Linked DNA regions of Rattus norvegicus. The protein of the gene in region 1 purifies or fractionates together with the protein of each later gene. This does not show direct contact. Links are inferred from orthologs where the notes say so. Each region holds a gene or a part of one and is shown on either strand. Other genes may lie near its edges. The genes, in order: Fntb and Dyrk1a.

What was found.
Region 2: the proteins of Fntb (region 1) and Dyrk1a purify together in Homo sapiens (affinity purification with mass spectrometry; 3 studies listed by BioGRID, counting the BioPlex papers as one). This does not show direct contact. The link is inferred for Rattus norvegicus from reciprocal best matches to the Homo sapiens genes FNTB and DYRK1A.

The regions. Positions count from the first base shown.
Region 1 is NC_086024.1:101,349,462-101,353,275, forward strand, and holds the end of Fntb (protein farnesyltransferase subunit beta), read left to right. Parts: intron 1-1,896; coding exon 1,897-2,028; 3' UTR 2,029-3,255; downstream 3,256-3,814. UniProt on the Homo sapiens protein: Essential subunit of the farnesyltransferase complex. Catalyzes the transfer of a farnesyl moiety from farnesyl diphosphate to a cysteine at the fourth position from the C-terminus of several proteins having the C-terminal sequence Cys-aliphatic-aliphatic-X.
Region 2 is NC_086029.1:47,472,588-47,476,272, forward strand, and holds part of Dyrk1a (dual specificity tyrosine-phosphorylation-regulated kinase 1A), read left to right. Parts: intron 1-3,209; coding exon 3,210-3,685. UniProt on the Homo sapiens protein: Dual-specificity kinase which possesses both serine/threonine and tyrosine kinase activities. Exhibits a substrate preference for proline at position P+1 and arginine at position P-3.

The DNA.
Region 1 (3,814 bases):
TAAAAGAACCAAATTGTGATCCGACCCTGTACCCTCACAAGAGTCGTGGTCCTTTTCCTTAGTTACACATGCAGATACACCGTACTGTTTGATAACTGAAACCCACATAGAGGAGTAGGAAGATTGCGAACCAATCCCGAGGCTTGCTGTCGCTGTCTGGCCGGATGCTGGTGGTCTGCCAGCCCCAGCCTCTCCATCACAGCCCTGAGCAATTGTGAGATTTGAGATGCTTTTGTGCACAATGCTTTTTGCTCATGTGTTATAGGTTAAACTTCCCTGGTATGAATATTTAAAATCCAAAGTGCTTTAAAAGCTAACTTTTTTAAGATCATACTAGCACTCAAAAAGTTTTGGAGCCAAGAGTGGTTGTGTACATCTGTAATTGCAGCAGAGGAGGGATACATCCTGCCCCTCCCCAAAAGGACTCTATTCCAGAAAGAATCCAGTCATGTCATTTGCAGGAGAACGGAGCGGTCTCAGGAGGACATGTTTTCTCTCATCTGTGGGTCAAGTTATACACAGACACATAAAACACGCCATGTATCTATGACATGAACCAGAAGTCAAACTGTCTGTGGAGACAAAGGGAATTAACGGGAAGGGGAGGGTTTGAAAAGGGAGGAAGGATGAGTGCGTGTATAGACAAGCTTTAATTTTTAAAACGCTGCGGTGTGACTCCTCCCCTCTCATGTCTCTTTTCTCTTTTGTTTTTGTTTTTGATAGAGTTTCTATCTATCTTCAAAGCTAGCTGTCTGTCCATCCATCCATCCATCCATCCATCATCCATCTATCTATCTATCTATCTATCTATCTATCTATCTATCTATCTATCTATCTATCCATCTATCCATCTATCTATCTATCTGTATGGCTGTCCCGGAACTCTTTCTGTAGACCAGATTGGCCTTGAACTGACAGACCTGCTGGGATTAAAGGTGTGCACCCCCACCGCCCGGCCTGATTTTCTTCCTTACTTTTTATCTTCACTCCATATGAGAGAAAATGTGATCTTTCTGTGTCAGAGGTCCCAGGAAGGGAAACGGAAGGACAATGGAATGTACTGCCAAGGGAGAGGTGGGGGACAGCAGAAGTGGGGGCTGGGGGCAAATAAGAACAAAGCATACTGACTGCACACAAGAGAATGTCACAGCAAAAGGCAGACACGCACTCCTGTAATCCCAGCGTGTGGGAGACGCAGGAAGGTCAGGAGTTCAAGGCTAGCTTACATAGTAAGTCTGAGGCCATCCTGGACTAGATGAGACACAGAAAAACAGAATGGAAGGAAAAAAAATGGAAGGAAAAAAATGCTGGAACAAGCAGTACTTTGTTAATTAAAACATATTTAGTGATAAGAAAGTTACAGTGCTTAAGAAAAAGATTTTGGAGCAAGGAGCTAGCTTAGTGGTGGAGCACATGTCTAACATGTTAGGGTACTAGGTCTGCCACACAGTTTCTGATTTCAGTTTTACATAAGATGACTAACTGGTAAAGTCTGGGTGAATATTCTAAAAACAACAAACTCCAAAATGGCATTTCCTCACGTCATTAAAATATTTGAAAGCACATATTAGAGCTCTCTCTAAAAGATTTATCATGTAAGTCGGTGTTTTGTCTGCCTGTCTGTCTGTATGAGGGAAGTGAACCCAGGTCCTCTGACAGAGCAGTCAGTGCTCTTCAGTGCCGAGTGTCTCCAGCCCTGGAAAGCACACATCTGGGTGGCTGAGTAGTGGTCCCCTGTAATTGTATACTGAGATGTTGACTGTTTTGTCGCACATTTGGGCCTGGAATAACCCTGTGTATGTATCACTCACGCTCCTTAGCCGAAGCTCTGCTGGTGCCTGTCCGCAGCCACAGAGCCACTGGTGACGGACGGCTTTGCCTCTGTTCTCGTTACAGCAGCCCACTCACCCTGTGTACAACATCGGACCTGATAAGGTGATCCAGGCCACCACACACTTTCTGCAGAAGCCGGTCCCAGGCTTTGAGGAATGCGAAGATGCGGTGACCTCAGATCCTGCCACTGACTAGAGGACCCCATGGCTCCCCCAAATCCCCCGTCAGACAAGGTTTCTCCGTTTGGGTACATAGCACAGTCCGTGCTACTTGAGCCTTGGCCACTGTGGAGTTGTGGTTTCTTTGTCCTTTCCTGTCAAACAAAACAAAGCCATCAGCTCTGGGTTGGAATACACAATGGTGTGATTTTAAAAATTATTTTCATACCTGTCAAACCAAAACTCTGGGAGCCGATGTAGTAAGCAGGGTTGGAGAGCAATGCATGCTGGGAAGCAGCAGCCTCCTCCAGCAGCCAGGCCCACAATGCTGAAATGGAAGGTGTCTGTGAGTATCTCCACATCACAGCCACTGCTGTGCCTCCCACCTACACACCATTCAGTCAGCAGATGGGCTCCTCTCTGGTATAAATGTCAGCTCTGTGCAAGGGCGGGGCTGTGGGTCCAGCCAATACATGCTCTCTGGAAAACAGCACTGGGCTCCAGTGGGCATATTCATACTTGTCTCTTTTACCCCAGTCATTTGCGAAGGACAGGGGCCAGGAATGAAGAAGGGTCTTAGATTGAGCCTTCCCCACAACCTGAGGAGAACTGATCTCATATTTCTCCAAGGCCATGTTTGTATGAGCAAGACTTGTTTTGCCCTAAGTATGACGACTAGACCCAGGTAATCAATTATGAGTGGAAAATCAACCTCTAGGTGAACTCTGTGCCAGAGGAAGCAGCCTCCCCAGTGCCCAGCCCCTGCCTCTCCCCATCATGTACCAGGAGAGGCCCTCCTCACGGCAGTGCTGCAGCCCAGGCTCCTTCTAGTCCTTTCTCCCCACCCACCCTCCAAGACAGTGCTCTTTTCTCATCCAGGGTGTTAACACTACTAAGGCTTCACCGTAATCGATCACTCAGGATTTACTCCTGCCCTGCCCACTCCAGGCTCTCTGAAACACAGTCAAGTGCTAGGCAAGCTAGCTGCTGCTGGGACAGTGACCAGCAGGAAGGCAAGTGCTGTCCGTGTGCTGAATTCTGGAACTGCCTCTGCACCGGCTGAGTTTGCTCACCTATCCACTGCTACAGTCATAGCAAGCTCATGCCGCTGTCCCAGCCTGTGCGAGCAGGCAGACGGGAGCTTGGAGATGCAGCATGAGGTTCTTCCCCAAACCACTGGCCATTTGCTGCCTCTGATTCCCCATTGCTTTGGTGTACTGGGCTATGTATTACCTCCTTGAAATAATAAAAGAGTAACATTTTCTATGCTGTCTTTTTTTTTTTTTTCAGAGAAAATTTAAGTGTGTGTGTGTTTGTGTAGGTGTCTGTGGAGACCAGAAAAGGGCATCAAATCCCCTGATCTTAGTATAGGTGTTGTTACTTAGTTCAGCATGGGTGCTGGGAACCAAATTAGTATCTTTTCTAAGAATGCCAAGTGCTCTAGCCATTGAGCCTTCTTTCCAGCCCACCATGCTATCTCCTGTCTATACCAAGAAAATTCCTTCAGGATGCCCTTTTGCTGTGGGCATTTCCTCTCTCCTGCATGTGAATGAAGGGAGTTGAAATTCATTCCTCCTTGTGTATCTCCTTCCCACACTGAAGTCTGATATTTGTGAGTCCCCAGCCCACCGGGGAGGGGACCATGACTACCATCGCACAGGGCTGTGCGGGTGGACATCCTGGCCATGGGTAGGGGCTCATATGGGGGTAGCCGGAATTCTGTGGTTGCTGTAAGTGACTCTCTGACAAGGCCAAGAAGGCAGCATTCTGAGCTTGCTTCTTGAAAGAAGGATACCTCACGGGGAAACTCCATCCATGCAAAT
Region 2 (3,685 bases), on another chromosome or scaffold:
GTAAACATACATAGTCATTCCCAGAATAGCACAGCTATATGTTCCCACCTACCTTACAGAGGTCACTGATCTGTTGGGCAAGCCCAGCTGGCATTTCTGCTTGTGATCATTGTCCTCCTGCCTTCAAGAAGCTGGAGTTACAGGCGTGCTGCACTGTGCCCAGCACAGTCTTTTCTTTTTGAGTTAAATTGTTTTTAGTTGTTTATTTATGTTGAGTGTGGATGTATGTGGCTGCATGGGAACCATAGCATGCTTGTGGATGTCAGAGGACCACTTCAGGGAGTCGTCTCGCCATGTCTGCCAGGGGCAGAAGGAAATCTGAGTTAAACTCTCAGACTGTCAGGGTTGTTTGCAAATGGCTTTACCTGCTGAGCCATCTGGCTGGCCAGTCTTTTAATAATTGATACAGTCATGTAGTAAGAAGAAAGAAACCACAGAGGTGGTTTATGAGAAGCCCTCTTCTTCATGTCAGCTAGTGTAGTACAAACTAGTATTTGTAACTTTTATGTCTTTGAAAAGATGTTCTTTATGGAAAAGTAAACCTAGCTATATATTATCAGATAATGTATTTAATCAGATAATATTTTATATGCAGACAAAATATTTATACACAAACACCTTCACCAGGTATATTATATACACTAGCCTCTTTTTTTTTTTTTTTTTTTTTTTTTTTGGTTCTTTTTTTCGGAGCTGGGGACTGAACCCAGGGCCTTGCGCTTCCTAGGCAAGCGCTCTATCACTGAGCTAAATCCCCAACCCCACACTAGCCTCTTTATAAACACTGTCATATACATGCACAGTTTTATACCTAGATCCTTCTTCACTTGGCGTAGATTGGTATTCTTCCTATATCACAGTAAAACTTTATTTTATACTGCTTTGCAGTATTACATTGTTCAAATATTTCATGATTGATTTCGCTCATAGCTTATTCATGGGCATTTCTCTTATCTGTAGTCAGTTTCACTATTTTTGATATCATAATAAAAACTTTTTAAGTACACCAGTCACACATGCACATTTTGTCTGTGTTCTAAATTCCTAGAAAGAGTTGGAAATGAAATTGCTGAGTCAGAGTGAGGTAACAAGGATTATTTATGGTCATGATTGTCTTCTGCATGATCTGACAACTCAGTAAGTTGAGTATTAAAAGTCATTGCCAACTTGGAGTATAGTGGTAGAGCATTTGCCTGGAGCACACGGTGCCCTGGCTACATTAGTCTCCAGCAGCACGTAGGTGCACAGACTTCTACACTTCCCCCCAAAGAGTAAAGGAAGAAAGTAATGGAAAAGTGTGCTTTGGAGTTCCTTTATCTGTGCTTGACTTCATTGTCTATATCCACTATGGTCTGAAAATACCAAACAAAGGAAGAACCATTTTATCTTTATAAAACTGTGTGCTTCTGAATAACAGGATGAGATCTCATCCCATTCTTTCCTGTGTCCAGCTTTGTCTGTACCATATACACAGCCTACCAGTCACTTGGGAAGGAGGCATCCTCATTGTCAGATAACTTTCTGGGGGTTGGGGATTTAGCTCAGTGGTAGAGCGCTTGCCTAGCAAATGCAAGTCCCTGGGTTCAGTCCCCAGCTCCAAAAAAAAAAAAAAAAAAAAAAAAAGGTGGCGTCAGATAACTTTCTGTGCAGCCACTGTGAGTGTATCAGTGGCTGTCGTAATTTAAGATGTTATAACTAACCATGTGCTGACGGGTTCAACTCAGAAGCAGCGTGCTGTCCACTCAGGTCAGTCAGAGAGCGCTCAGTCGGGTGCAGTTAGTCTCTGTATTCTACACATGGGTCTCTTCTCTCTGCCTAGGAGCATAGGTATGCTGCAGGGGTCGGCCCTGCCCCTTAGCAGAACCCTTCTCTTGTGTGGTGTGTGGTCACAGTAGCAAGTATTTCTCAGCTGAGACAGCATGGATTGGAGCCGTGCGTGTTTCGATAGATTTTGGTGCAGTTGTTCACGGTTTACCAGTTGAGTATCTCCAATCTGAAATTGTAATTGCTATATTTTTAAAGCATTTCATAGTAGATTAAGAATGGTCAGCCTTTAATTTTTTTTTTTATGAGATTGTTGCCAGTTTTGTTTTCCCTACTGGATTTTCAGGAGTTTCATTTCTGTACAATTTTTATCAAATATTTACTTTTAACAATTTATGCTAGAGACTGGTGGTAGAGATAGCCTTTGCCTTTTCAGAGCTCACAGTGACATAGTAAACACACTAAAACACAGATAAAAACAACAAGTGATGATTCTATACCAAAGAAAGACTTGACGTATTCCTCTGAGGTAGGTATTGCCTGCTTGGGGTTGGTAAAGTTCTGTGCTAGACCCCAGCACCGTCACCGCAGCAGTCCAGAGTCATGTGACTGAGAGGATGTTTGTTAGACTGAGGCATATTGAGTGAAGTAAACTAAACACACAGTCTCCGAGGTGGGCATCTGAGAGAATGTGGGGAGTTTCCTCTCTGTGAGTACAGTAGTCAAGTAAGTGTTGATTTGTCATTTGTGTGTCATTTATGACTGGTCTCTTACCAGGTTGTGACTCTACACCCCCTAGGCCCAGTTAGTTGCCCATGGCATGGTACCCAGCAGACAGACTTAATGAGACCTAGACAGACTCAGTCCGTAGTCCTGCTGGTGGCTAAGGGAGTGCAAGGAAGGCTGGAGCGTGTGGTGCAGTCATCTGCAGTGTAGTGCAGTGACTATGGAGTGGGGATATGGAAAGGCAGCGAGGGTGGCACGGCAGCAGCCTTTGCCACATGCACTTAGGACGGCAGCCGGAACCCAAGCGAAGATTAGAAAAGAAAGCATTCTCTCCAGGAGGAAACAGTGAGTTCAGAAGCCTGAAAGCATATGTTCAGGTCAAGGGGTGGGAAGAAGACCTGGGCTGATTGGAACTCACGTAAGTAAAGAAATATTGGAGAAACAGCAGTGGAAGATTGAAAGATGGTGTCAGGATTTAGGATGACTTTATGCACACTAGGATGCGCTGAAGGGATTTTGGACAGGGAACAAGCTGACTTGGAAGGATATTATGCTCCTCTCAGTGGGTTGGAAAGGGCAGGGACGGACATGGGGCTGCCCAGGAGTGAGTGAGTGAGTGAGTGAGTGTTTGTGCTCAGGCGTGCTGATAACCCTGTCACAGTGCTGCTCCCTCAGGTGTGCCAGCAGTTGATAACCCTGTCACAATGCTACCCCTACAGGTGCGCCAGCAGTTTCCGGCTCCTCTGGGCTGGTCAGGCACTGAAGCTCCTACACAAGTCACTGTTGAAACTCATCCTGTTCAAGAAACAACCTTTCATGTAGCCCCTCAGCAGAATGCATTGCATCATCACCATGGAAACAGTTCCCATCATCACCACCACCACCATCACCACCACCACCACCATGGACAGCAAGCCTTGGGTAACCGGACCAGGCCAAGGGTCTACAATTCTCCAACAAATAGCTCCTCTACCCAGGATTCTATGGAGGTTGGCCACAGTCACCACTCCATGACATCCCTGTCTTCCTCAACAACTTCTTCCTCGACATCTTCCTCCTCTACTGGTAATCAAGGCAATCAGGCCTATCAGAACCGCCCAGTGGCTGCTAACACCTTGGACTTTGGACAGAATGGAGCTATGGACGTTAATTTGACCGTCTACTCCAATCCCCGCCAAGAGACTGGCATAGCTGG